Arabidopsis thaliana: one gene and its partner. The protein of the gene in region 2 interacts with the protein of the main gene of each other region in a pairwise test. Each region holds a gene or a part of one and is shown on either strand. Other genes may lie near its edges.

The links.
Region 1: the proteins of UMAMIT28 (region 2) and TPI interact in a protein complementation assay, tested with the Arabidopsis thaliana proteins (one large-scale study listed by BioGRID).

Annotation. Positions count from the first base shown.
Region 1 is NC_003074.8:20,547,870-20,561,030, forward strand, and holds TPI (triosephosphate isomerase), read left to right. Parts: upstream 1-5,533; 5' UTR 5,534-5,924; coding exon 5,925-5,963; intron 5,964-6,290; coding exon 6,291-6,366; intron 6,367-6,656; coding exon 6,657-6,780; intron 6,781-7,124; coding exon 7,125-7,209; intron 7,210-7,303; coding exon 7,304-7,436; intron 7,437-7,614; coding exon 7,615-7,709; intron 7,710-7,819; coding exon 7,820-7,898; intron 7,899-7,984; coding exon 7,985-8,067; intron 8,068-8,158; coding exon 8,159-8,209; 3' UTR 8,210-8,691; downstream 8,692-13,161. Other genes in the region: AT3G55420 (uncharacterized protein), read left to right, coding at 51-701; AT3G55430 (O-Glycosyl hydrolases family 17 protein), read right to left, coding at 1,937-2,824, 3,674-4,135; PBL1 (PBS1-like 1), read left to right, coding at 10,260-10,338, 10,457-10,827, 10,920-11,055, 11,134-11,279, 11,359-11,482, 11,670-12,094; SCL30 (SC35-like splicing factor 30), read left to right, coding at 13,155-13,161.
Region 2 is NC_003070.9:33,714-46,306, forward strand, and holds UMAMIT28 (nodulin MtN21 /EamA-like transporter family protein), read right to left. Parts: upstream 7,305-12,593; 5' UTR 7,165-7,304; coding exon 6,962-7,164; exon of another isoform or gene 6,885-6,961; coding exon of another isoform or gene 6,823-6,884; coding exon 6,760-6,822; intron 6,617-6,759; coding exon 6,500-6,616; intron 6,102-6,499; coding exon 5,696-6,101; intron 5,575-5,695; coding exon 5,423-5,574; intron 5,342-5,422; coding exon 5,185-5,341; 3' UTR 4,731-5,184; downstream 1-4,730. Other genes in the region: LHY (Homeodomain-like superfamily protein), read right to left, coding at 279-614, 688-1,761, 1,854-1,934, 2,017-2,250, 2,911-2,972, 3,097-3,208, 3,310-3,348; AT1G01080 (RNA-binding (RRM/RBD/RNP motifs) family protein), read right to left, coding at 11,790-11,846, 11,933-12,241, 12,331-12,432.

The DNA of each region.
Region 1 (13,161 bases), on a different chromosome or scaffold from region 2:
ACTTCTCATCACCAAAAGAGAGAAGAAGAAGAAAGAAACAGAGAATCGCCATGGCAGAGAAAGAGAAGAAAACAAAAAAGAAGAAGAAGAAAGAGAAGCATCAATCTTCCGACATCTCTTTCAAGCCTTCTTCAGACGTAAAAGGACTCAAATTCGGCGGCCAAATAATCGTCAAATCATTCACAATCCGACGAGCAAGAACATTCGAGCTTCTTAAACTCCTCTCTCTCCCTTCTTCATCATCACCGCCGCTTCTTTCCACGGCGGCTTACCTTCCGACAAACTTCACAATCCTTGCACACCACGCATGGCACACACTAACACTAGGTCTCGGAACAAGAAAGTCCAAAGTTGTGGTCTTCGTGTTCGAAACAGAGGCGATGAAATCATCCGTTGTGGCGGCGGAAGGAGGAATCTGGCCATCGGAGATTCCATTGGGAGATGTGAACAAGAAGATGATCAGAAAGTTAAAGAACTGGGAGATGGCAAGGTTTAAGTTCAGAAAAGGTTGTATCACGTTTTACGTTTACGCCGTGAGAAACGCCGGAAATGAAGGGTTTGCGGCGGCGGAGGACTTAAAGGTAATATTACAAGCGGTGGTGGCATTGAAAGATTTCATGGATCACACCGCAATGCTTGTAATGCCCCACCAGAAAAGTATTAATTACAGCTCTTGTCCTCCTTTTGCCATGGCTCACTGAACTTTGAACAATATTATACAAGTGGGCCCTCTTCTCTTTTTTCTTTTCTTTTTACTCCTTTTTTTTGTTGATATAGAAAAAAAAGTTCGGATTATTATTTATTTTTGGTTCCATAATGGGGTTGTTTGTTATTAATTTCCTGTATTTTTTTCTTTGATTTGGGTGGAAGATTGTTGGTATGAATAAGATTAAAACTGTTGAGTTGGGTTGGTTTTGTTCGTGCATTTCATCCATAGTGATCAGAAGCTGAATCTCACTTAGAATTCTTAGGTAAATCTTAAAAAATGTGGAAGAATTGGAAGATTGGAGAAATATATGTATGAAAAATATTTACATTTCATTAGTTAGTCAATTTTTTCATATAAATTAAATTTCTTGTTTTTTCTAATTTCACATGTTTTTTTTATCAATAAGATTTTTCTTCAGATCCTATAAATCATCATTTTAGTATATGTTATGATTTTCAGAGCTTAGTTTTAAGTGTCATTATACATATATGACGCATCAACCGAATAAAGTTAGAAGAAGCGAGTGTTAAGGGTAGTATGTTATCCTATATTTTCTATGTAGTTGTGATGTCTCTGCACATTACAATCTAGTATTGGTGTATTGATCTCAGGTCACAACCGCACACTTACATTACATGTCTACTTCTACATGGTCTCACCCAAATATGATTTGAATGAGACTAGAATTTACTACAGTATTTCATATATTAACAATTCTGTAACATTGTCATGTCAAGATATGTTAACAATGTAAAGTCATAGTTTTACAACATGTCATAGTTGTCCAATGATACTACTACTACACATTGTCATATTTCTTAGTCTTTTAAACCTTTGTCGGGTCAAAGTATGATTGGTCGAGGAATCGGCATTTAGAAATCTTCAACTGATGCTAATCTCATGGCCTAGAAAGACATAATTATCTTGTAGATAAGGTTATGTTTCTAAACGCTTATATTGCTTTATAGGTTGATGGACCATCTATATCCAACATAAAGATCACAAGTCACACAAATCAATGTTTTTAAGCGTAACGCTGAAGCAAATTTTATGGAAGTTCCACTTTATTTAAATAAAAGGAATCAGCGAAAAAATAATTAACAAAAAAATCTTAAAATTAGGATAATCCGAAATTAAACACAAAGCTGATGATCTCTCAAATCCAAAGTTCCTCAGAACCATTATGTTAGGATTTTCCAGACAAATACTACTACATAGACAATCTCCTTAGTACTTACATGCACCATTGCTTGGGTTGTTCCCTACGATCATACCAGTTCCACTGAAGTTACAAGCACCATCAGTGCGGCCGTGGCTCTGGAAATAAGCATTCATAACAAAAGATGCGTGCGTCCTCAAACTGCTCGGGTTAAAGCACGAACCACCAGCTTGGATCGGTTTACAGTCAACACCCTGACCACACACCCAATTAATACTGTCTTGCAGCTGAGTATTCGTCGCCCCGGACCTCGCTACACACCATTTACCGCCGGCAGTACTAGGTGCGGGCAATGCTGGGCGGCCTCCACCGCCTTGTCCGTTTCGGAGAAGACCAACATCGTAAACCGGGGAGAAATCTGCTCGGAAAAGTCCCCAGTTACGCTCTGCGGTCGGACCGGGTTTGCCTTCTTCGTTGAAGAGACCGAAAATGTATGTCTCGAACCGTCTGTTAGGCATGAGAGGTGTCCCTTGGCCTTGTGCACGTTTGATAATGTTGAGGTTGAACCAAGCAGCATTCGCAGGCGAGCACCAAGGTGCGTCACAAGCAGATGGCCAGCCAGTCTCGCCAACGACAATGTTAACATCACCGTATCCAAGAGCTTTCATGGCTGAGTATGTCGAGTCCATGAGTGCATCAAACATGTTGGTGTAGACGTGGCGGGTGAACGGGTCACGGACTGCCTTGTACGGTGTTCGGAAAATTGCGAAGTTGACGTTTTTGGGGTCAAAACCAAAGTAAGGGTACGGGTTAACCATGAAAGGTGACTTGGTTCGGCGATGGTAAGCTAGGATTGGAGCCAATATGCCTTTGTCCCAACCCGGCCTGAATCTACCGCTGCTTGGTGCACCGGTCAGGTCATAGGCTATGATGTTAAGTGAGTGTGCGGTTGTAACCTGAGATCAATTGCAACAAATAGTAGTATTAGAATCAATTGTTACCTACCAATCTCCAACAATTTTCATATGATAATCATGTTGGTCTAAATTTCCTATGAAATTGGTACATTATCTCATTTACCTAGGATCACATATATCATGATGTAATAAAGGAAACATAAGGCATGGCAGACAGATGAACGAATCTAAGGACAATAGGATAACCTTGGACGGTGATGAGATAAGCACGTGGGATAGTCTAAATGGTCAGATCTTAATCCAATCGCTAACATTTTCAAGTTTCAAATCTTTGAATTTTGCTTTGGGAATTTATTTTTTTCCTCTTTTTAAGAAACTAACAATATACAAGTTGGATGAAAAAAAGAAAGAAGCAAACGCAACATTCTACGTTTGCGTGAAATTTTGGATTTCAAGTTAGATAACAGACGAAAAAATAGAGATTGAATCTAATTTTTCAAAATAATCAATTTTTGTTTTGCATATTTTTTTCAACGTTGTTTTTCAACTTTATACATATGCGCAATCAATGCATTATCTCTGATATAAAAAAGGGAAAGAAAAAAAAACAGTGCATTTTTCACGCCAATCATCAATTCACTATTAATAATTACAATTTCTTTTAGTTAAAGAAAATTAAAACTAGGTAAAAAAGTTAAGTAAACAAAAAAAAAAAAAACTTTCCCACTAGCAAATATCAAATTCAAAGTTGAGATTTCAAAATTTTTTATCTGAAATTTATACAATAATGAACATCAAACTTAACTTTAATTTTATTTACCAAAACCAAACAAATATTCTACTTATTCCTTAAAATAGAAAAATCTGAAAAATAGAGAGAAAGCTGACCTTAACATCTCTGACACCAGCACGAACCAAAGCGTTGTTAAGATTCCTCATCGCCGGTAAGAGATTATTGATCATGTTATTATCTCCGGTGAGCAGAATCTCATTTCCGACTGAGATATACTTAATCTTCGTCTGAGGATGAAACGGCAAAATGTTAACCGAAACCCACCGACGAGCTTGTCTTCCGTTAGCCAACGCCGGAATATCACCGTTAGGAACGGTGACAACGACGGAGATACCAGTTCCAGCGAAGGCACGTAGGATATCGGGATTCACATCGAAGATCTTGACGCTATCAATCGAAGTTTGTGTCTTGATAAAGTTAGCCACCTGAGTCGGTGGTGGGAGGTTTCCGAGAGTTCCGTAGTTAACACCGATGGCGGAGATCACGGCGGGGATGGTGAGGAATACGGCGGCGCAGAGGAGGAGGAGAAGAGAGATTGACGGTGGCGCTTTGGCCATCTTTTTATATTTCGGAAATGAGAAAACCAAACGATTCCAAGTGAAACCCGTGAATCGTTTGAGTTGTGTTTTTATTATTACGACGAATAGATTTTTTTATTCTTATCGAGAAAGTATTTATAATAAAAATTAATAGATATGACCGTTTTGTATAGCGTATACGTGTGTATATTTTTAGTGAGGAACAGCTGGATTTTGTGGAAAGCAAAATAAAAGAAGAAGTTTGTGTTGTCTTTGTTTTTCATGTGCGTCGGCTTAAATTTAGGCCGTTGTAAATTATTGAAAAAGTGGATTTTGTTGTGACCGTGGAAACTTTAGTTAATTAATTTGGCTAATTATAGAGTCTGCTTTTGTTTGGATAATCAATTTGTCATCTTTTTCTTTAATGGTTTTTGGCTGGTAAATACTCATACTATCCAAGTTTAATCTAAAAATATACCTCTTTCTTGTTAATCGTAATTTTACAATCCTAATTTTATCCAGATACGGATGAACTATATTTGAAAAAAAGGAACTAAAGTGAAGTTAAGAAAACAAAAGAGAGATCGAGTGTTGTTTTTTCTTGGATACGTTTATTAAAAGATGTTCTTAATGAGGTCAAAGGAGACTATCTGAGTTTTTACTGCTAAACTTAAAACTAAAAAAAAAATCGATTAGTAATATTGATGTATCAACGAAATGTATATGGTTAAATATTAAGTGAAAAGAAAAAGAAGAGAGATCGACGCGGTTTGGGATAATGCCATTGGCCCATTGGACACGTGTTTGTAGGAGGAATAGTTTGGAGTTTGAACACTACGGACCAAAGTCAAAGAGATTCGAAGTATGAAGATGTTGTTGAGGAAGCTGATTCGAAGTAACTTTTACCGACACGCTTTAGCCATTTGTTATGCTTTCTTTGGGAAAAGAAGATCCGCGTCCATGTCTCATTGTTAACAGTTTATTGTCATTTTCAATGACATGGTTACACTCATTGCACACACACACAAACCACGTAATTTTGTATTTTTTTAATTAAATCCCATCCTTATTTTTTGCAATAACAAATTACCATTGTTACTTTTTAATGATATCACATAAAATAATCGATGCCACTCGATAGCCCTTTAGACTAACAATATGTTTGTTGAAGTATGCCACAATGTTTGAAGTGAGCCGGCTCAATGCTCTCATGGTGGTTTAGTAGTTTAACTTGAGAACTTACAACAGTTTTCTCCTTCTCCACACTATTTGTATCCAAGAAGGGGCATTACAATATAGAATTGCATAATACGATTTAAACTTTTACCAAAAAAAAAAAAGAAAAAAAAAGAAAGAATTGCGTAATACAGAATTTATCTTTAAGGGAATACAAATATAATTTGGTTTCAGAATCATCTCAATAGGCTTTCCTTTAACCAAACTTGGGTTTTATTGATGTGCTTGCTTTAATGGGCCTAAAGCCCATACAACAGCATCACTATCCACGCCGTTGTCTATTCTTATTATTCACCCCACCCGGTACACCGACCAAACCTTGGCCAACACGTCCATAATATTTCATCCTCCCTCCTAATTTACTTTAATATCCTCAACTTTCCTAATCGTTCAGGGAATATTCTCATATACCCTAGACATATGCGTCTTTTCCAATCTAAAATGTTGAGAGTATATTTTTATTTATATATATATGAGTGACCCCTGCGAGAGACAACGGCCACTGAACACTATCGATCTAATCTTTTCAGCTCTCTCCATCGTCGTCGTATCTGTGACTCTCGTGATCATCGCCTGAAAAAAATTTGAGATAATGGCCAGAAAGTTCTTCGTCGGAGGCAACTGGAAATGTGTAAGTGATCTTTACCTTCTATTGCGCACCTTATTATTAGTCTTGTCACTTGATCCTTCCCCGATCAAGTCAAAGAGATCGGAAAATCCCGATCTTAAGATCTAAGGTTTTTTTCATTATTTGTAGCGGTGGAATTTGAATTGTAATGCATATGGTTCAGATTTGTCGATTCTATGCCGGATCTTAGTTGTTTTTTTTTGTCAAAATTTTGAGTAGGAATTTTTCTTCAATTGATATCTCGTGTTCTAGCTTTGGTGGATCCGTGTGTTAATTTTGTTGGTTAAACTATTTTAACATGTTAATATTTGAATTTGTAATCTTATATAGAACGGAACTGCTGAGGAGGTGAAGAAGATTGTGAACACTCTTAATGAAGCTCAGGTTCCTTCACAGGATGTTGTAGGTATGTGTAGCATCTCAATTGCTTTGACGACATTATGGCTTTTTTTTTAATTTCCATGTCTATGAAATCTTAAGTAGTGACAAATATTTTGGGCATACAATTACAAACCTGTTTCAATGTACATCGATGTTCTATAGTGTTTATGCTTCTTAGGAACCATGGATAGATCTAGTGTTTGTTGTTAGTTAAAATGTTCTTTATCATATACTTGTTATGGTTCTATCTTTGTTGATAGTTATAAGTATGTTTGTTCTTGTATTAATAATTTGATGAAATTTTACTAAATGCAGAGGTTGTGGTTAGCCCTCCATATGTTTTTCTTCCCCTGGTTAAGAGCACATTGAGGTCTGACTTTTTTGTTGCGGCACAAAACTGTTGGGTTAAGAAAGGAGGTGCTTTCACTGGTGAAGTGAGGTGAGATTCTAACCATTGGTGTATACTTTAAGCTGTTTTACCATTATTGCTTCATGCAGTAAATATTTATGGTTTTGAAAATGAATATGATTGTGTTTATAAACGAATCGATTTTTCCATCTGTTCTTCTTCTTTATCTTCTTTCCTATAAGAATTGTGTAACCTAAGTGATTAAGAAAACAACTAGTAGTTGGTAGTAAGACCATGATTGGATTCGTGCCTGGTTAGACAAGTAGGTGTAATATGATTTACCTGTCTATGGAATGCTTTCATAGGAAGAAAAGATATATTCTGTGGTGCCTGTATTTCCTGCTCTTATGCATTGTGTAATTTGTGTGTTTTAGTGCGGAGATGCTTGTGAACTTGGATATTCCATGGGTTATCCTTGGTCACTCTGAAAGGAGGGCAATCCTTAATGAATCAAGCGAGGTTGGTGACTTTACATGATAAAATAATTTTCTGGAGACTCAAATAGCTTTTAAATTCATGATTTTGGTTTTTGACCTCTATCCTACATTTGTAGTTCGTCGGAGACAAGGTTGCCTATGCACTTGCTCAAGGTTTGAAAGTGATTGCTTGTGTTGGTGAGACTCTTGAGGAGCGGGAAGCTGGATCGACCATGGATGTTGTGGCTGCCCAGACCAAGGCTATTGCCGGTATGTATATTGTCAAACATTTAATCTCTTTTTGCTATCTCAGTTCGTTCTCGTTTACAGTGAGACCTGTTTTGATGATAGTGATGCCCGTTTCTACGCACTATACTCCCTTAGTGTGTGATTCAAACCCCACAGAAATATTTGTTGGCTAAAAAACTCTTTTTGTTGGTAATGGCAGATCGGGTGACAAACTGGTCAAATGTTGTCATAGCCTATGAACCAGTGTGGGCCATTGGAACCGGAAAGGTCGCTAGCCCAGCCCAAGCTCAAGAAGTAAGTGGTTCTCGATGCGCAGTTGCACTGTAACGTGTTGCATATGGTCATGATTTAATAGGAAAACCAATGCTGTTTTCCTTACGAGAGCTTGTTTCGTTTATGAACAGGTACACGATGAGCTGAGGAAATGGCTGGCCAAGAACGTGAGTGCTGATGTCGCTGCTACAACCCGCATCATTTATGGAGGTAGATAGATGATAACACGATCTTTAATTAAACACCCCTATATAGTTTTCTATGTTACTTAGCTTGATTATGCAAATTATTATCAGGATCCGTCAATGGTGGTAACTGCAAGGAGCTAGGTGGACAGGCCGATGTTGATGGTTTCTTGGTCGGTGGTGCTTCTCTAAAGGTACATATAATATGGTTTCTCTTGTAATGATATCTTTCGTTTGTCTCTTTCAAAACCATGACTAATGTTTTCATTCTTGGTCTTTTTGCAGCCTGAGTTTATCGACATCATTAAGGCCGCAGAGGTGAAGAAAAGTGCCTAATGAGCTCATTAAGCAATTTAAAAGTCCTTTGCTTTTCCAGTCGCAACTCTGAAAAAATGAATAAGTTGGTATTATGATATGATACATTTTGCTTCAGTTGTATTTGGCAAAAGTTTCTCTCTTACTATATTGTTTTGAGAACGCAACAATCATTTTCTTCGCCATTTATTTAGCTGTGGACTTGCAATTTGCAAATCCCTTCCTTTTACAGTCTTCTCAACTCTTCAGAGAATCTGTGTTTGGAGTTCATAACCCCTCGGGCCTTTTGATCAAACCCCTATTTCTAATGTCGTCCGATCATAAACCTGTGTGTTATATAATATGTTGTTTGTTCCATTTTAGACTTTGGTATTTTGTCATGCTTGATCTCTGAATCATGCTGTCAACCACTTTGAAAATGGCTTTACTTGTTAAATAAATGACGAGAGAATACAGGAGAAGTGGGAAATGACTTTATTTTTTCCCTTTTATCGCTTTTTGCCTATTGGTCTGTCATTTTTGACATTTTAGCTTTTAGAACATTATTATTTTCAACTTTATTGTCATCATCTTGAAAAATGTCCAACATTACGAAATTATTATGTAGAGAGTAAAAAAGGAAAAGAAATTTCATGGAGAAACTCATTGTATTAGGAATGTCAATGTTTGTAGAAAACAAAATGCTTATGTAATTTGAGTAAAACGGCTCAGTGGAACTAAAGTGATAATGTAAAAGAGACGGTTAAGTCCAAAATAAGAGCTCCCGTATGTCAGAATTGTTCAAACCATTTATTAAAAAATTGGACTCAGTATGATGAAAATGTGTATGGATTTTGATCCGACCACGAAAATCCAACTAGTGCCAATAAAAACTCCACAATATGTGACTCAGCTACAAATGTGATAACGTATTATCTCCCAAGTCAACCCACATTTCTGGTGACTTATATTTTATTTATTTCTGAGTAATATTTAAGAAAGTAGGGATTGAATTTTTATGAGTATTATATTATATAGTTGACCTTGGACTTATTTGCGTAACGAGCAAACAATTGTGACCTTAGAAATGGAGGTTTGACTAAGTCATCGATCATTTCAGCAATAGAGTAATTTTGGGTCCGTATGACTCAAAACAAGTTTTGGTAAAAAATTTCTCTGTTTTAAAAACTTGTATTTATAAAACTTATGTCCCATCCCATGATACTAAATTTAATTACATTATACGTATGTAGTCAAGCATAATTTTTTCCTGAAAAATCTTATTTTTCTTACCTACTTGTAAACTTTAATTTAATTCCTGGTTAAGTAGATATTTTTCTTAGTTCTTACAAATCTTATATTTTCTTACCTACTTTTATAAACATTTTTGAGACCACTATTACTAAACCCGAATCTGTTTCATCATTCCACACCCAAAGCATATAAATCGAAAATATCTATGATCACATGAATATCTATCATTTTCGACAAAATTTGTCCTTTTTTTTCTTTCTTTTTGTATCCAACCCCACCACGGCGAATTTATTTCAGGCCTATTAAAGATTCCAAAATCTCATGACCATCTGACTCAGATGTCATATCTATTAAAAACGTTATTTTGAATCTTAAACATATATCATTAGTGATCTTTTTGCACGTTTACTCAGATGCTTAAGATCATCAAAATCAATCTATGAATTTCAAAAGTTTTAAAAATCATACAATAGAAAAGTCCCACTGATCATTAAATTGTTATTACTAATTTTATTTAGAACTCGTTTATTATCTTTTGGTCAAAAATATAACTTTTGTCTGAATTCGTTTTTTTTTTGTTTGGACAAGAAAAAGACCTTTCTTCTTCCTTCGGTTGCCTCTACCATCTCATCAACACACATCTTCTCTTTCTCTTCTCTCATCCTCTCTCTTCTTCAGTGTTTACTTTTTCTCTTTCTCTTTTTTTTTTCTCTTTATTATTTCGCTTTAATGAGTTTTATCTGATAGAATCTGCTCCACCCAAAAACAGCATAAGAAGAAATTCATTGTCAGAGAAAAGTGCAAAAAAAAAAAACGATCTTCTTCATCATTCTACTAAATGGGTTCTTGTCTCAGTTCTCGTGTCCTTAGTACGTTCTCTACAATTCTCCATCTCCCATTTTTTTTTTTTTTTTTTTGTGATTCACACATGTGTATCTCTTCAAATCCGTGATCTTTTTGGTTAATCGATAATGGCTTTTAAGAAAAGGAATGAAATTTGCAAGAATCTTCTTCCTGTGATCTAACTGAATAAAGTTTTCCCCTTTTTTGGCGTTCTCTCAATTTTGACTGTGGTCAACGCTTTTGTGTGTTGTGCAGATAAGAGCAGTAGTGGTCTCGATGATCTTCATCTCTCGAGCTGTAAATCTTCATCATCAGCTACAGCTCATAAGACAGAAGGAGAAATCCTTAGCTCAACGACCGTCAAAAGCTTTAGCTTTAATGAACTTAAACTCGCTACTAGAAACTTCAGATCGGACTCTGTTGTTGGAGAAGGTGGCTTTGGTTGTGTCTTTAGAGGTTGGCTTGATGAGACTACTCTTACTCCTACCAAATCTAGCTCTGGTCTTGTTATTGCTGTTAAACGACTTAACCCTGATGGTTTTCAAGGTCACCGAGAATGGCTGGTACAACACTTGTTTCTTATCTTTGATTTATAACACTCTTTTGTTTTTGTGTGTGTAGGTTCTGATATTGATCTTTTTTTTTGTGGTTTCAGACAGAGATTAACTATTTGGGGCAGTTAAGTCACCCGAATTTGGTTAAATTGATTGGTTATTGCTTGGAAGATGAACAACGGCTTCTTGTGTATGAGTTTATGCACAAGGGTAGTCTTGAGAATCATCTGTTTGCAAGTGAGTCTTTGATCTCGTCCATGTTTTGTGAAACTTTGAGAGGTTGTTTGTTCTTATGTTTGAATGATTTTTTTGAAGATGGAAATAAGGATTTTAAGCCGCTATCTTGGATTCTACGGATTAAGGTTGCACTTGATGCAGCTAAAGGTCTTGCATTTCTTCATAGTGATCCCGTCAAAGTCATTTACAGAGACATCAAGGCGTCAAACATCTTACTGGACTCGGTATTCTTCTCTTTCGATGTCTACTTGTTGTCTTTATCAACGACTTAAAAGATACTGAGTTTTGTCTTTCAAACAACAGGACTTCAACGCAAAGCTTTCAGACTTTGGTTTAGCGAGAGACGGTCCAATGGGAGAACAAAGTTATGTTAGTACAAGGGTCATGGGTACTTTTGGGTACGCAGCTCCTGAGTATGTCTCAACAGGTACATTCTGTCACTAAGATATGATGCAAGTAATAATGGTTGGATAAGAAAATGTAAGACTGTTGCATGGTGCCTAACACTGGTTTTTAATGTAAATTTGAAGATAGCAACTATAAAATTTATGTGGTTAAAGGAGCATATGGGTTGATAGCTAGTTTCGTTCTCTCATCTTTCTATCTTTTTTCAGGCCACTTAAATGCTAGAAGCGACGTATACAGTTTCGGGGTTGTTCTGCTAGAACTACTATGTGGAAGGCAAGCACTAGACCATAACCGCCCGGCCAAGGAGCAAAACCTTGTGGATTGGGCTCGACCATACCTCACAAGCAGGCGAAAGGTTCTACTAATTGTGGACACTCGGCTTAACTCACAGTACAAACCCGAAGGAGCAGTGAGACTGGCAAGCATTGCTGTGCAATGCCTATCATTCGAACCCAAATCACGTCCGACCATGGACCAAGTGGTTCGAGCCTTGGTACAGCTGCAAGACAGCGTGGTTAAACCGGCCAATGTTGACCCGCTTAAGGTTAAGGATACCAAGAAACTTGTGGGATTGAAAACAGAAGACAAGTACCAGAGAAACGGTTTAAACAAAAAAACCGTTGGATTGTAGTAGGTAGAGGGAAATATAAGGTTACTTGGTTAGGTACTCTTCATGTCTTCTTCTTGTGTATTGTAATATTGTGCGAAGTGATTTTGACATTTTGTAACACTGCTTATAGTTTTGCTCCTGAAATATTCGATTTGGAGATACTTGTTTTCTCTCTATCTATAGTTTGGTGATATATGCCAAAATGTGGTAGTGATCAATTCCACTCTCTTCTAACATTTTAGTTTACTATATATGTAACTAATTTCTGTCAAGTTGATTTGTTTTTATGAAAATGACTTTAATTAGTATAGTTGATGATTGAATCATAAATAACTTGTAGCCAAAAACAGACAGAATAGTACAACAAACTCATAATGTAACATTAATATCAATTCCGAAGTTCACAAAATACCATAAATATCAAATTCCATGAACATTGTCATCAACCAGAAATAAATAAATTTTACGTTAATTAAGCCAAAATGGATCTCGAGTTAAATCAATATCAATAACTATTCAACATAGCCAAATAAGTCACTATTTTAGAACAAGAACTAACTCAATTTGAGGTTTTCAAAATTCCTATATCAATTTAGAACGAGAATCTCCAAAACACAAGTCACCTCAGTAAACTTATATATTTAAGGGTTACTTTGTTTTTGTCATAAATGTTAAAAGTTACTAAAACTGTTTTTTCCCCAATTTTTTTTACTGTTTCTCTAATTGTCAACAATCAACAATCTTTCCCTTTTTCCATTTAAAAAAACATACGCGAAAAAGGAAAAAACGCGATAAGGCCAAAAGCCCATTTAATAAATGGGCCAAGCTCTCCGATCAATAGAAAAAGATCTGTCTTCTTCTTCTCTATTCTCTGATCTCTCATAAGAAGGGCTTAGGGTTCACTTCAGATCTGTCTTTGAACATTGCTACTCTCAAGTGATCAAATTAACTCCGTCGCAGGTAAATTCCACAATCCTCCGACCGTAAACCCTAATTTATCACTGTTCTTCCAAGAAACAAGTTTTTGTTTTGATGAAATTGAGGATCTTGCGTTGAAATCGTTTTGTTTCTATGGTAGGTGATGAGGA
Region 2 (12,593 bases):
AATATCCACAATTTTTAAAAAGAAGAATAAAGACAAATCCATTGCTTAATGGTTAATTAACAGTAGTAGCAGATGACATATAGACCACAAGTAGCATACACAAACAGAGACAAGAGACAAGACATGGGGTAATATGGTACAGAACCTGACATGACCAAAGAAATGTTCGGAAGGAAAATTAAAAGTCTCTTTCATAAAGATTGGAGAAGCAAACTACTAACACTAGATTTAAAGATATTGATAAAAATGTGGATGTTTTTTTTTTACCTCCAAGTCTGTCATGTAGAAGCTTCTCCTTCCAATCGAAGCCTTTTGCAGACTTTTTCATCACTTTGATTGTTTATGTTCCCAACTTGGCTCTCTTTCACTTCCATTGAACATCTCTTGTATGGCTTAAATCCTGTCTGTCTCGTTTTAAGACTCTTGCATGTTCCAACACCGATCATTACTACTCCTTCTTGGTCTGCAGCACAAGAATCCTGGCTTTTGAAATTAGGAGCCAATGGCATTGACGTGTCACTTTGTTTTCTATTCACATTCTCTGCCACTTGAGGAGGCGAAAAGCTTTGAGGCAATCTTTCTCTTGCAAAGAGAGCCTGAAACGCTATACGACCCTGAAAATATTTTGATAGTGTTAGTTCCCAGAAGAACTCTGCAATATCCATGAATCATTGGTTTTTGTTTTACCTCTTCGGAGACTTCCTTCCACGAATCAGTAGTTGCATTGTTGTTGCTGTTGTTGTCTCTCATTTTAATCTTACGGTTATTTAACTCAATAACATCTGGCTGATTCTCATCTGTCTCCTTCACATCCTCTTTATCTTTCTCCATTTTATCTAATGCATCAGTTTCTGCGTCACTCCCTGAAGGTGTATTTGAGCCACAGGATGAGCGGTCCACAAGATTTTTCTTCTGGGCAGTGTTTGAGTCATGCACAGCGGCAGTAACAACAACCTCCTCAATTTTATCATCATTGGTTTTTGAGTCGGCATTTAGCTTGGTTACTCCAGTCTCATCTGAATCATCAGATGATGAAGCTGGAGATTTCGAAGCCAAGTTTTGATCTTGCAGAGCTGTGTTTTGTTTCTCAAACGGTTGAGTATTTTCAACGGTATCCATTTCAGTCATTGCTGGAGTTGGAACTGCAACAGTTGAGAATGGAACACATGTTATTGGAGCTGGAGCGCATACAGGAAGAAGTCCATGAGAAGCCCACCAAGCAGTTGCAGCAGCTACTGTAGCAGCGGCAATGGCAGTTATACTTGGAGGAGAAGAGCTCATTGGGGTTGATGAATCACCAGAATTCCCGACACTCGCATAAGGCCAGACCGAAGCAGCGAATGTAGCTGCAGCATGAGCTGCAGGATTCTGTAGGAGAGTTGACATAATAAGATTGGAGAAAGTAGATGATATCTGGAGAAACGAACGGTAATCATCCTGTGAATGACAAGCTGGAAACGCTTGATGAGAAGCTGTAGTAGTAGCAGATGCTGTTGTAGCTTGAAGATTTGCGTGCCCGTGAGTTTCTTCTCTCATAGGATGAAACATGAAGTCTTGAGATACCATACCTGAGGGATGATTTTGAGGGCATTTTGCTATATTCCCGTTCACAATATCTGCGTGGAAATGCCAAGGGTAGTTTTGCATGCTGTGCACAGTAGTACCATCGTTACCATCTTTGTCTTTGTTCTTCTTGGGAACATCTTGAACCGCGTTGTCCACAGTTGAGGTCTTACTTGTTTCAATGTCGCCACTTACCTGCTAAAAATCAGAATGGAACAAATAATTTGTCATGCACTTGAAAGCATTCATCAGATTCTTCGACTACAATTTTGTAGCTTTCTTAGACTTACTTTCGTTGGTAAGGGATACTTGTTCACAGTAGAAACACCCGAGCAATTCTCATCTTGATTTTCTTTTCCAGTTGATGTTTTCTAACCAGAAAATAAAACATAAGAAGTCTATCACAAGACCACCAAAATGATAAAATGAAGAAGAGAAAGATCAGGAATAAACCTCAGAGAACGGCATTTTTTCCAAATCCAAGAACGCCTGATTCAACTGTGAAGAAGAGGCCGATGAAACAAGTTTTGCATCTTTTGCTGATGATACTTGAGAGGAAGATGTACCGTTGTTCCCAGGCTTTCGAGGATAAGGAGTATTGGGTTTTCGTTTAGGACGAGGAGGCGGAATTTCTATGTCCAAAGCTTGGCAAACAGGGATGCCTTTAACTTCAGCCTCTTTCTCCAACTGAAATGTGAACCAAAAACTGTGAGCTTTTCCAAACTGGAGATGGAAAAATGCAGCTCAGATGTGAAATCCTGAGATTCATGAAATTGACCACATCACCAAGGTTGAAAAAAGTCTTATACTGACCCGAATTTTTCGGGGTAGAGATGATAGAGTTACTTCATGTCCTGTCCTATAGGGCAAGGAGGTTTGGTTTCCATATGGATGGCTAAAAGAATTCATGCAATCCCATTATTTCATCGACTTTAGTGAATATGGGACAATTGTGTCATCCAAATGCAACGCTAGTTATGTTAATTTGGACCTATCTTATGGTCTCAGAGAAGAAAGCTCTCTGTAGAGTTTTTTCTAACAGTAAGTTTGGACAGACCAATCTAATGTTAAGTTTAGTTGAACAGAGTAAATGAAAAAGATAAAAAACGATCGAGATGCAATCCTCGGAACCAACCAACTCTACTTAGCAAAACACACTCTACTTAGACGCCTAATTTCTAGTTGAAGCAATTAGAGAAAAGGAAGAATAAGAAGAACCTTCTATCATCTTTTCCAGACAGTGACAGGCAACTTCTAAACATAGTCATAGATCGATATGAAAAAATGGTACCTTTACACAAGATAACGAAAGTGTTTTAAAAAGATCTGAAAGGATCATCAACTTACCTTTGTGAAGAACTTTTGTGCATGACTTCTGATCTGAACAGCAGTCTTTGTCCCAATATGTTCTGCACACAAAATGAAAAGAAAAGAAGGAATCTCCCAATCAAGAGGAGATAAAGACACTCCTAAACAAAGGAATATAAAATCTCAAAGAGTTCAAACTAAACATTCAAAAGATAAACTTTCGACCTTCAATTCGTTGCCAAGCTCTTCCATAAAGCCTCAAGGCTTCTAGAAACCTCTCATGCTCATCCTCAGTCCATCGCTCTCGCTGCTTTGTTATTGTATATGGCTTTCTTGCCTAAACATTTGAAAACCCAAAAGAAAATCAAATCTTCACACAACAACAGTCCAAATCTCTCAAACAAAAAAACACCAATCTTATTTCATTAGTAGTAGTACCTTAGCTAATAATTCTTCTCCAGATGTATTAGTATCCATAACAGGACCGGTGCAGCTATTCGCTGCTTCAAATCCTCTCTAACAAGTAAAGTATAAAAAAGAAACCATCTTTGATCTCCCCAAACATGAAAGTTTTCAAATTGCAAAGCCGTTGTGATAACCTCTTTAGATTCTAGAGAAACTGCAAAGGAGAAAGTACTTTATGAGAAATATTTATCCACAAACACTAAGATAAGAGTGATGAGCGAAATTCAAAAGAGAAATCTTTTCAAAGTCCACCGTGAAACAGTCGCTGCTTCTCCAGCAGAACTCAAAAGAATTCCCTTTATTATTATTCACAAAAGCCTCACCCAAACGAATCCACCGCAGCCAAAACCTTCACAAATCTTCATATCAGTAATCAATCACCAGATTCGTATCATTTATGCTAACTTTTAGAGCTAATAAGATTTAGTTAATCGCTTCTATAAGTTTCTCAGCAGCCAAACAGAGATCTTAGTATGTTATAGGAATCCTAGAAACTGCTCATAATGTAAACTGTTATACCCTTGAGAGTAGCCATGGAGGAGACAAGTATGCAATCTGACTTATCATCTCACCGGGAACTCCCCGGAGAAGTCATCGTTCCCGGAAATAATCAAATCGGAAGCAAAACAAAAAAAAATCTCTAAAAATAAATTTAAAAAACAGAGAGAAGAAGGAAGAAGATAACTGAAGAAGAAGAAGAAGAAGAAGAAGAAGAAGAAGAAGGAAGACTGTTTTAGGCTGAAGAAGACTGGAAGAAGAAGAAGAGAAGCCAGAAGCAATCTCAGCCACAACAATTTTTCCCCTAATTTTTGGAAAAATTTTAATTGAAAAGTTTATTTGAGGCTGGAACAGCACCAAGGGTATAAATGGAAAAAACAGAAGTCATCGCAGATCGACACGTGGTGATATTGTAGTGGCTGTCTACTGCACTTTTTGGTATATCTCAAGTTGCTTCTCTACGAGCCAGAAGCTTCAATGTGAAGCTCACGTAGGTAAAAGTGAGTGTGGTGGTCCACAATTGCTTACGTGTAAACGATTATTGGTACAAACTTGGACGACTAAACAAGTGGGTACGGTGCCAGCTGTGATGGTGTACTGCTACGTATTGGCTATGCTGGATCTGGGCTTGTAATAAGACATTGTATGGGCCTCACTTTTACGCCTATTCTATATAAATTTGCGTATTAACATAGTTGAATTAAACCCGACAAGCTTGGACTGCTCGGGGAACTTGCGTCTGTATAAAAATCTTCATCTTTTCATATAATATCATGCAATGCCTATACAAAATTTCAACAAATTATCATCGAGAACTTTGGTCAACTTGCTTATATAACATTTGTAGAAATTAAGGAACATTAATTACTCTTAAGTCTTAACCGAAGCATGTAGTATTTATTTATGGAATTCAGCAAACATCATTACACTCATTTTTTTAGATTCCAGCTTACAACTGTGTTTTGCTTAAAGCAGAAGCGTTTAACATAGTTATAGATACTCTAATGTTGGAGCAGAGCTTAGTTGCAATATTTTTTGAAGTTGACGGCCTCATCGGTCAGGAAGCCACTACAAAAGGTTACCGAGAACTTTGGTTAGTTCGGTTCGGTTCTAGGTTAACCAAAAAACAATAGACCAGTTTTTGTTACTAACCGAAGAACTGAACTACCCGAATCTAATTGAAATAACCGAAATTATTCCAAAATAACCAAACAAACCGGATTTAAATATTTCACAAATCTCTACGTTGATGTTTGGAATTATAAAATTTTATCTCTCATTACCTCTCCTTAAACATTAACTAGGACATAACAGTTATTTGAAACATACATTAACAACAATATAATTAAATTAAACGGGCGACTTAGAGTCGTTATCCTTATTAGGAGTAGTATATTGAGCTTCGTTATCCATTCCTGAAGACAATGCAGTTGATGATTCCGTTTCTTTGTTCTTCCCCCACAAGAACATGTAGAGACCCGTTATGGTCACTAGTGATCCAATCACACTGTAGACCAAAAGTTTTAATGTTGTAATTAGTGTTATGCCTAGACAAAATTAATTTGATAGAGATTATCGAAGAAGATACCTTCCAAGGTATAAAGGAGTGTGTAAAATGAGGAAATCAAATAGAGTAGCCGAAATGAGAGTAAGTGGGAAAAACGCCGATGCGAACACAGCTCCTAATTTTTTAATCCCCCATGTTGTTGCAACCGTCGTCATTGCTTGTCCTACCACTCCCTATAATATATGATAAAAAAAAACCACATAAAAAAACCCACATTAATATCTTAAGTTCTTACATACTAATCTTATAATTTTTAAAAAGTTAATTTATAAAGATATGATGTTTGTAACTTACAGCGTATATGATGACGGTGATAACGAATCTATCATCTATGATCCAATCATTAACGTCTCTGCTCTTGTAAAGGCTCAAGAGAGCACATTGAAATGCCGCGAAAATTGACATAAGACAAGTGCTCGAGTATTTGCAAGGGTACTTAATACTTAAAGTCCCTTGAAACAACATCCATAGAGATAGCAACACTGTTCCTATGGTTAAATAAAGACATCCAAGAAGCCAATTATTGGCCTTGTCTTGATCGTTGTTGTTGTGGGAAGCCCCACCGTGAGAGTGAGAGTGAGAGTTTGATATTTGTGGGCCTTTGTAAAATGTTAAGAACAAAGCTCCACTTATACAGATCAAAGTTCCAATCACCTTCAACATTCCTGCTTTGGTCTTTAGAATCTTCACATTTTCAGTCCTAAAAAAAGTAAAATTTTAATGATTATTTTGAAACAAGTTATTGAGAATATGAATCATAGTAGAAAGTATTTGTTTTTTTTCTTTCCTGGCGTTACAAAATAGAGTCGCTTTTTAATAATTTTCCGCATCATTCCATCAAAGTTTATAAAAATGCGACGTATAGCTAAGAAAAGACATTTTTTCAGGAAAAGCTTTAGAAAGAGGGCTCAGTGGATGCAGTTACGTATACTTAAGGTAATTTGATGGAAAAGAAAACCAATCAGATTGCATTACAATTAATAAGAAAATATAATGTTCTATATTATGTTGTCAATACTTTCAGTAGTGCTTTTTAAAAATCTAGATTAATATATATTATCAATTGATGATAAAGAGGTTAGATGGTTCCATCGTTACCTGAAAATAAGGGCCAAAGCGAAGGTGATTGCAGGCAACATGCTTACCAAAGCACACGAAACAGTTGCTGACGTGTACGACAGACCAAGCAAAAAGAAAAACTGCATCAAACTCGCCCTGTCAATTTAAACCCATAAATTAATTAAAAGATCTTTAATAATTTAGCTTATGATTAGTACAAACTATTAAACTATAAGAATAAATTGCAAATGGCCGACAAAATAATATAATAAAATGCAATTAGGTTTGAGAGGACTAACCCGAGAAGGCCACTGACGAAATGATCGACCATTAGCCTAAACGTTATTTGTGGTCTTGTTTTCCTATTTAACAACAATAGAAATTCTTTAGAAAATTCATTAAAATTATACATATATATTAACATTCGTGGCTTCTAAATTTCTACTTGCATGTTAGAATACAGAATTTTCACTATCTCCTATTTCGATCAACATATCAAACCTTTCCAAGACATAGGCAAAGGGAACCAAAATTAAAGCGGAAATAGCCATTCGATAAGCACCAATGACCATATGGTTCACACCAACATCAAGAGCTTTCTTCACAAGTGCATTCACCGAACCCATCGCTACATTTGACATCACCATCACTATGACCGGTGAATATTTTTCTACTACTCTCACTCCTTGCATATCTCCAGCCATATCTCTCTCTATATGTGAGTTATTTTTGTGTGTATTACTTAGAGAGAGATAAGCCCCAATGTGCTTTGAGTTTGGCAACCACAAAGCTTCCCATATTTATAAGAAAAGTGTGTATGTGTTGTTCCACTTTGGACTTACTTAGCTTTGACGTTAACGTTAACCTATATTTTTATTCTCCTGAACTACTTATCTAAAATCTTACTACAGCATATGCATTTGTTTTAATGAAAAGTTAATCAAGCACTTCATACTACACCCTTTAATTTTTTATGTGTACAATAGGATTTTCAAACGTTTAAAATAGCATAACATATTACTATATTCATCATATATCCAAATACTCTTTGCAAGATTCTAAGGAAATTACATAGGTACATTACCACGCCGAAGCATTTGATTTTAATCTAACGAATTCGTTAACTTTTTTTTTTGGTGAATTACGAATTCGTTAACTTGGCATAGATTAATGTTCCCACAACCTGTTATATATATATATATATATATATATTTTCTTCTTTTTTTGATTCCACAGCACAGTATGTAAATTTCGTTTTGTCCGGCAAATTTGGCCTTTACCATAATTTTTTTCACCGCCTTCAGTGCCGTAGACAAATCAAAGCTCAAAAATAATTACGGAGTTTTAAATTATTTCAAATGCTATAGTAAAGTTGTAAATATATATATATATATCAATTAAACTCCCTTAACCCCATAAGACAAGTTTTTTTATTAGTGGTTTTACTGAAAAAATGATTATTGGTGTTATGTAAATGATAATATATTAAGGAAAATTTTTAGAACTTTTATTATATATTATCGTAATATACGACTCGAATTTAAAATAGAAATCAAAATAAAAGTGTTAGTAAAGGAAAAAAAAAAAGGTTGTGAATTCTATCACGACAAGTCATATATATTACAAATATCATTTTCTGTTAAGGTTAACAGAAAATTCTAAGTTGCGGTCTATTTGTCTTTTAAATCAAACACGAATGAGAAATTGCCACTCATTTACTAATATTATATTGCGTATTCTTTGCAGATTATGTCTCTTTATAATCATCTTGCAAATTGACCCTTAATTTTAACATGTGGGTGGTAAAAAAAAAACTAAAAGAAGAAACATTACTATTTCCATTGATAAGATTGATCGCAATCTATCTAGATTGAACTTGACAAAACTTTTGTGATACGAAAAAAAGAAGGAAAAGACAAAAAGGAGTTGGTATTGCTATCTGAGTTCGAGTGCATGAGTGGTCGTGAAAGTGGAATTAATTTGGGATATGCCTACTTATGCATGGCTTCAGAGTTGGTTTGACATAATTTTTCAGAAACAAGTGTCTAAGCCTTTCATACACGTCTTGATTTTAGAAGTTAGACTGATTTTCTCTATGTTCATGAGTTACTTTAAGTGGGCTAAGACCATCTTTATCAATGGACTCTTACATGTAGTTCTAAACAATTTTGATATATAACATAATGTTTAAATATTAGAAAGGCTCTTACAAAAGAAGAGAATAAGGAAGAAAACTCTTAGCTAAGAGCCATTTTTCATCTCAAGCACACTTTTTTATTTTTTTTTATTCTTATTTTGTTTAATATAATATTTTAATAGTTCTTATGATATTGTTAACAACCTATTGATAATGATGCTCTAAGAAGTCTAAACGTTTTTTTCTATCTAGACAAGTATCTTTTTGAAGTTAAAACTAATGTTAGTTTACTCCTTCAAATATAGTTTGGATTTAGAACACTGAAAATATAGAACTTGAAGTTGAAATTTTGTTTTCCTGATATTACAAAACTATAAATCGAGCAAATTTGTACTTGTTAAATTAACAGAATATTTTTTCTTACCAACTAGCTACAACTATTGATCTTTCTTACAACTTATAAAATGTAATTTATTACATTGTTTATAAATTATTTAACTCATTAAATGCATCAATATATAATAATTTTATCTTATACATGCATGAACAACTTAATAGTTTTTTTTTTTAAACAACCTAATGTTGTCTAAACGATTAAATGGTTTAGGTGTTAAGGCACAGAAATCATCCTCCATTTACCTCATGTTGCTTTTCTTAACACCAAGCACTAAACAAGCGCTAGCTATACAACTTTGGCAAATGAAAACTCAGTCGGAAACTAAATGTTTGTGTTTTTTTTTCACGACATGTTTTTAAGGAAAAGAAGAGAATTTTTGAACATAATATCGAACAAACCCACTAAAAATAGTTGGAGGGAGCAGAAAAGCAATTGAAAGTAACGAGACAAGAATAACGTTTTTAAAAAAGTTAAGAATATATAGTGTGGGTCGACATGTACCTCACTAAGTTTTCTAATTTATAACTTCTATCTTCGAGCATAATTGGGAATTTTGTGGCCACTAATATCGCAAAGAAATGTGTATACTATTATATTTGATGTGAGGACTGAAATTACAAAATTTATTGAATACTAACAGATTATGATAATAATTACCACTAAAATTCTTTGATTTTCTTTTTTATATTTTAATCTTAAATAAATGGATGGATCAAAAGTTCAAAACACTAAACTATAGTACAACATTACTCACGGATTCTATATCACAGCATAAAACTTCACATAATTAAAAAAAGGTTTACATCTCTCGCGGAAATTCTTAGCATATGATTGATTCTTCATCCACCAAGTAAGTTATTAATTTTAGGTTAAACAAAATTCAAAAACTTTCTTAAGAATTTTGTGGGTTATATATACTTCCAGCCTGAATAAAGGTTGAGTAACTTGGTAAATCTTGATCTCCATTATAGTTCTAATTTTGCTTTCTGTTTTTAATTTAAATTTTGGATCAATAAGAAGAGACATGCATGTGTTTCCTGCAAAACTCCGCGCAACATCGAAACTTTCTCTTCTTATTTTCAACATAGATGTAGGGAAAGAGATAATTACTGTTTAGTTTATTCTAATTTACTAGAGGAAAAAGGATTTAGGGAGAAAAGGTAAATTAAATATTCATATTCTTCTTAGATAGATCAACCACTGACAATAATAACAAAGAAGCCACTAATAAATATGCACGATGACTATTTTCTAAATCAAACGTCATATTTGATTCAGATTCGAGAAATGACTGGGAAAAAGAAAACACTTTTGAACAAGATAGACTAATCATAATCAGGTGAGATTTGTGACTTTCACAAAATAATTCTCCATCTTAATTGTTCGCATCTTCATTGGATCCCTTTTACACTTTTTTTTTTTTTCTTTCATTGGATCCATCTAGTTTGCACTACTTATATATGTGGTATATATAAACTTTAATTTTGAAAGTGTAATAAATTTAGAGTGATATCATTTAGCCCCCCGATGGAGGATTGAATTGTCTCGAACTAATGCGTAATGCAACACTATGGTTTTGAATAGTGAAATAGGAAGATGCGAATAAAAAATAGAAACGTATAAACGAAAACAATAGTGTATGTAATTAGGTGAAACCGTGAAAGTGGCGAACGAATCATTAGCATATAAGAAGAAGATTGTGTCCACCCTGAGTTAGATACGAATACTTTATGTGTGAAATCTAATTGTTCACGATTTGACTCTTCAGAGTTTAAAGGCTGGCTAACAAGTTTAAGCTGCGTTTTAGGGTTTGGGCCAATAAATTCAGCAATGAACCGGTTTTAATGGCATTAATAGCCCATAGTGAATGTTGCAATCAAGAAATAGTTATAAAACCATGTACATGGGTGATATTTTTAGATTATCACAAGTACAAAAATTATTTTTATATTAGTAAAGCAATTAGAATATGCTTATCAGTATCAGCCCACTGATATTTGTGATACCAGTATCATCTGACGTGGCTTCTTCTGATTGGTTACATTTGACAAAAGCAAAAAATATTATATATATTTATTAAACAAACATTATAAATAATACTAAAAAATATTCTTGATGATATTTTGTGAGTATCACCTATGAACATGCTCTAAAGATCAATATCTTAAAACAAATTTAGTGATATAATTAATTGAAAAAGTTTGTATTTTCTGGACTGAATCACACTAGGGTTTGTGTGATTTCTGGTGTAAGAAGGTAAAAGGAGGTAGTTATCAGATGGGCCCACTTGAAATCATTTCACTGGGCCTAAACAAATATAAAGCCCATTTATCATTTATGGCCTTTTTCAGTCTCCTCCCGAGATTTAAAACCCTAGTTGGTTGATCTTCTCCAACGGGGAATGGAATCGGAGAGTGACGAAAGTCGTGTGTGGATCCTAAATCCTTATTCGGGTCTCCGAATCGGATCCTCGGAGTTAAGCCTTACAAAATGAAGATGCTAATGGTTCTGTTTTCTTTATTTGGAACCTGAGTATTGCATGCACACCAAGTGTTTGGCAAAATGTTAGAGTGAGACGACAGTTGGGGAGGTTTGACGATTATCTTTCATTTGTAGAGTAGATGAATCGAAGAAGAAGATCGAAAAGAGAATTATACAGGTAGATATAATGGGTGATAAACAAAATCGAGAAGGATATAATATGTAAAGGTTACTTGTCGAAGAAATCAGAAGACATTCATTACACATTGTTTGTGTCCAAGAGATGTCTTTGCAGCAAAAGCAGAACAGTTGGTTTACGACTCACTCTTCTCGATACCTTCTCTGACGATGATTCTGCGACCTTCATATTGCTGCAAAAGAGAGATTGTGATAAAGCCAGAGAGCAGTAGAAGAAGTTTCCTCAAGCAAGATTCTTTTTATGGATAACGAACTTAACTGTTCCATTGAATGATAAAGCCGCATCACGTTCTTCACCGCTTGTAAAAGAAAGAAAGGCAAAGACTCTGTTTCTCCCGGTCTTACGATCATGTAACACTCTCGTGCTTACGATTGTGCCAAACTTGCTAAAGTGGTTTCTCAAACCATCAGGCTGTGTGAACCAAGGGAGATTTCCGACATAGACCTTGTGTTGGCTTTCGTACATCAGAATCTTCTTTGGAGTTGAGTTCAAGACTTCAGGGTTTCTTCTTGTTCCTGGATTCATGTCAACAGAGTACCTAACCCGCATTTCCCGACCACCTACTTCCTTCATATATAGCAACAAAACCAAAGCACTCAACTTTACACTCAACCAGAAGAAAGATAGACTTGTTTTTTGGTTTCCCGGGCTCTTACTGTTCCATCAAGAGAAGCAATGGCGATTTTGGCAGAGTTTATAGAACCCATTGTCACGTACCCGCTTCCACGGCTCTCTCCCGTCTGAGGATTTCGCGATACCTGCAACATCATTTCCAAGCAATGCACACCTCTCACTATACTTGTCAATCATCCATATACTCAAAAGAGTAACCAGTACGTTTGATTCGTCTTGATGGAACTCAAAGCTAAGTATTTTCAAATTACATTGTGGATGATCTTTGAATTTTCAAAGCTAAGTT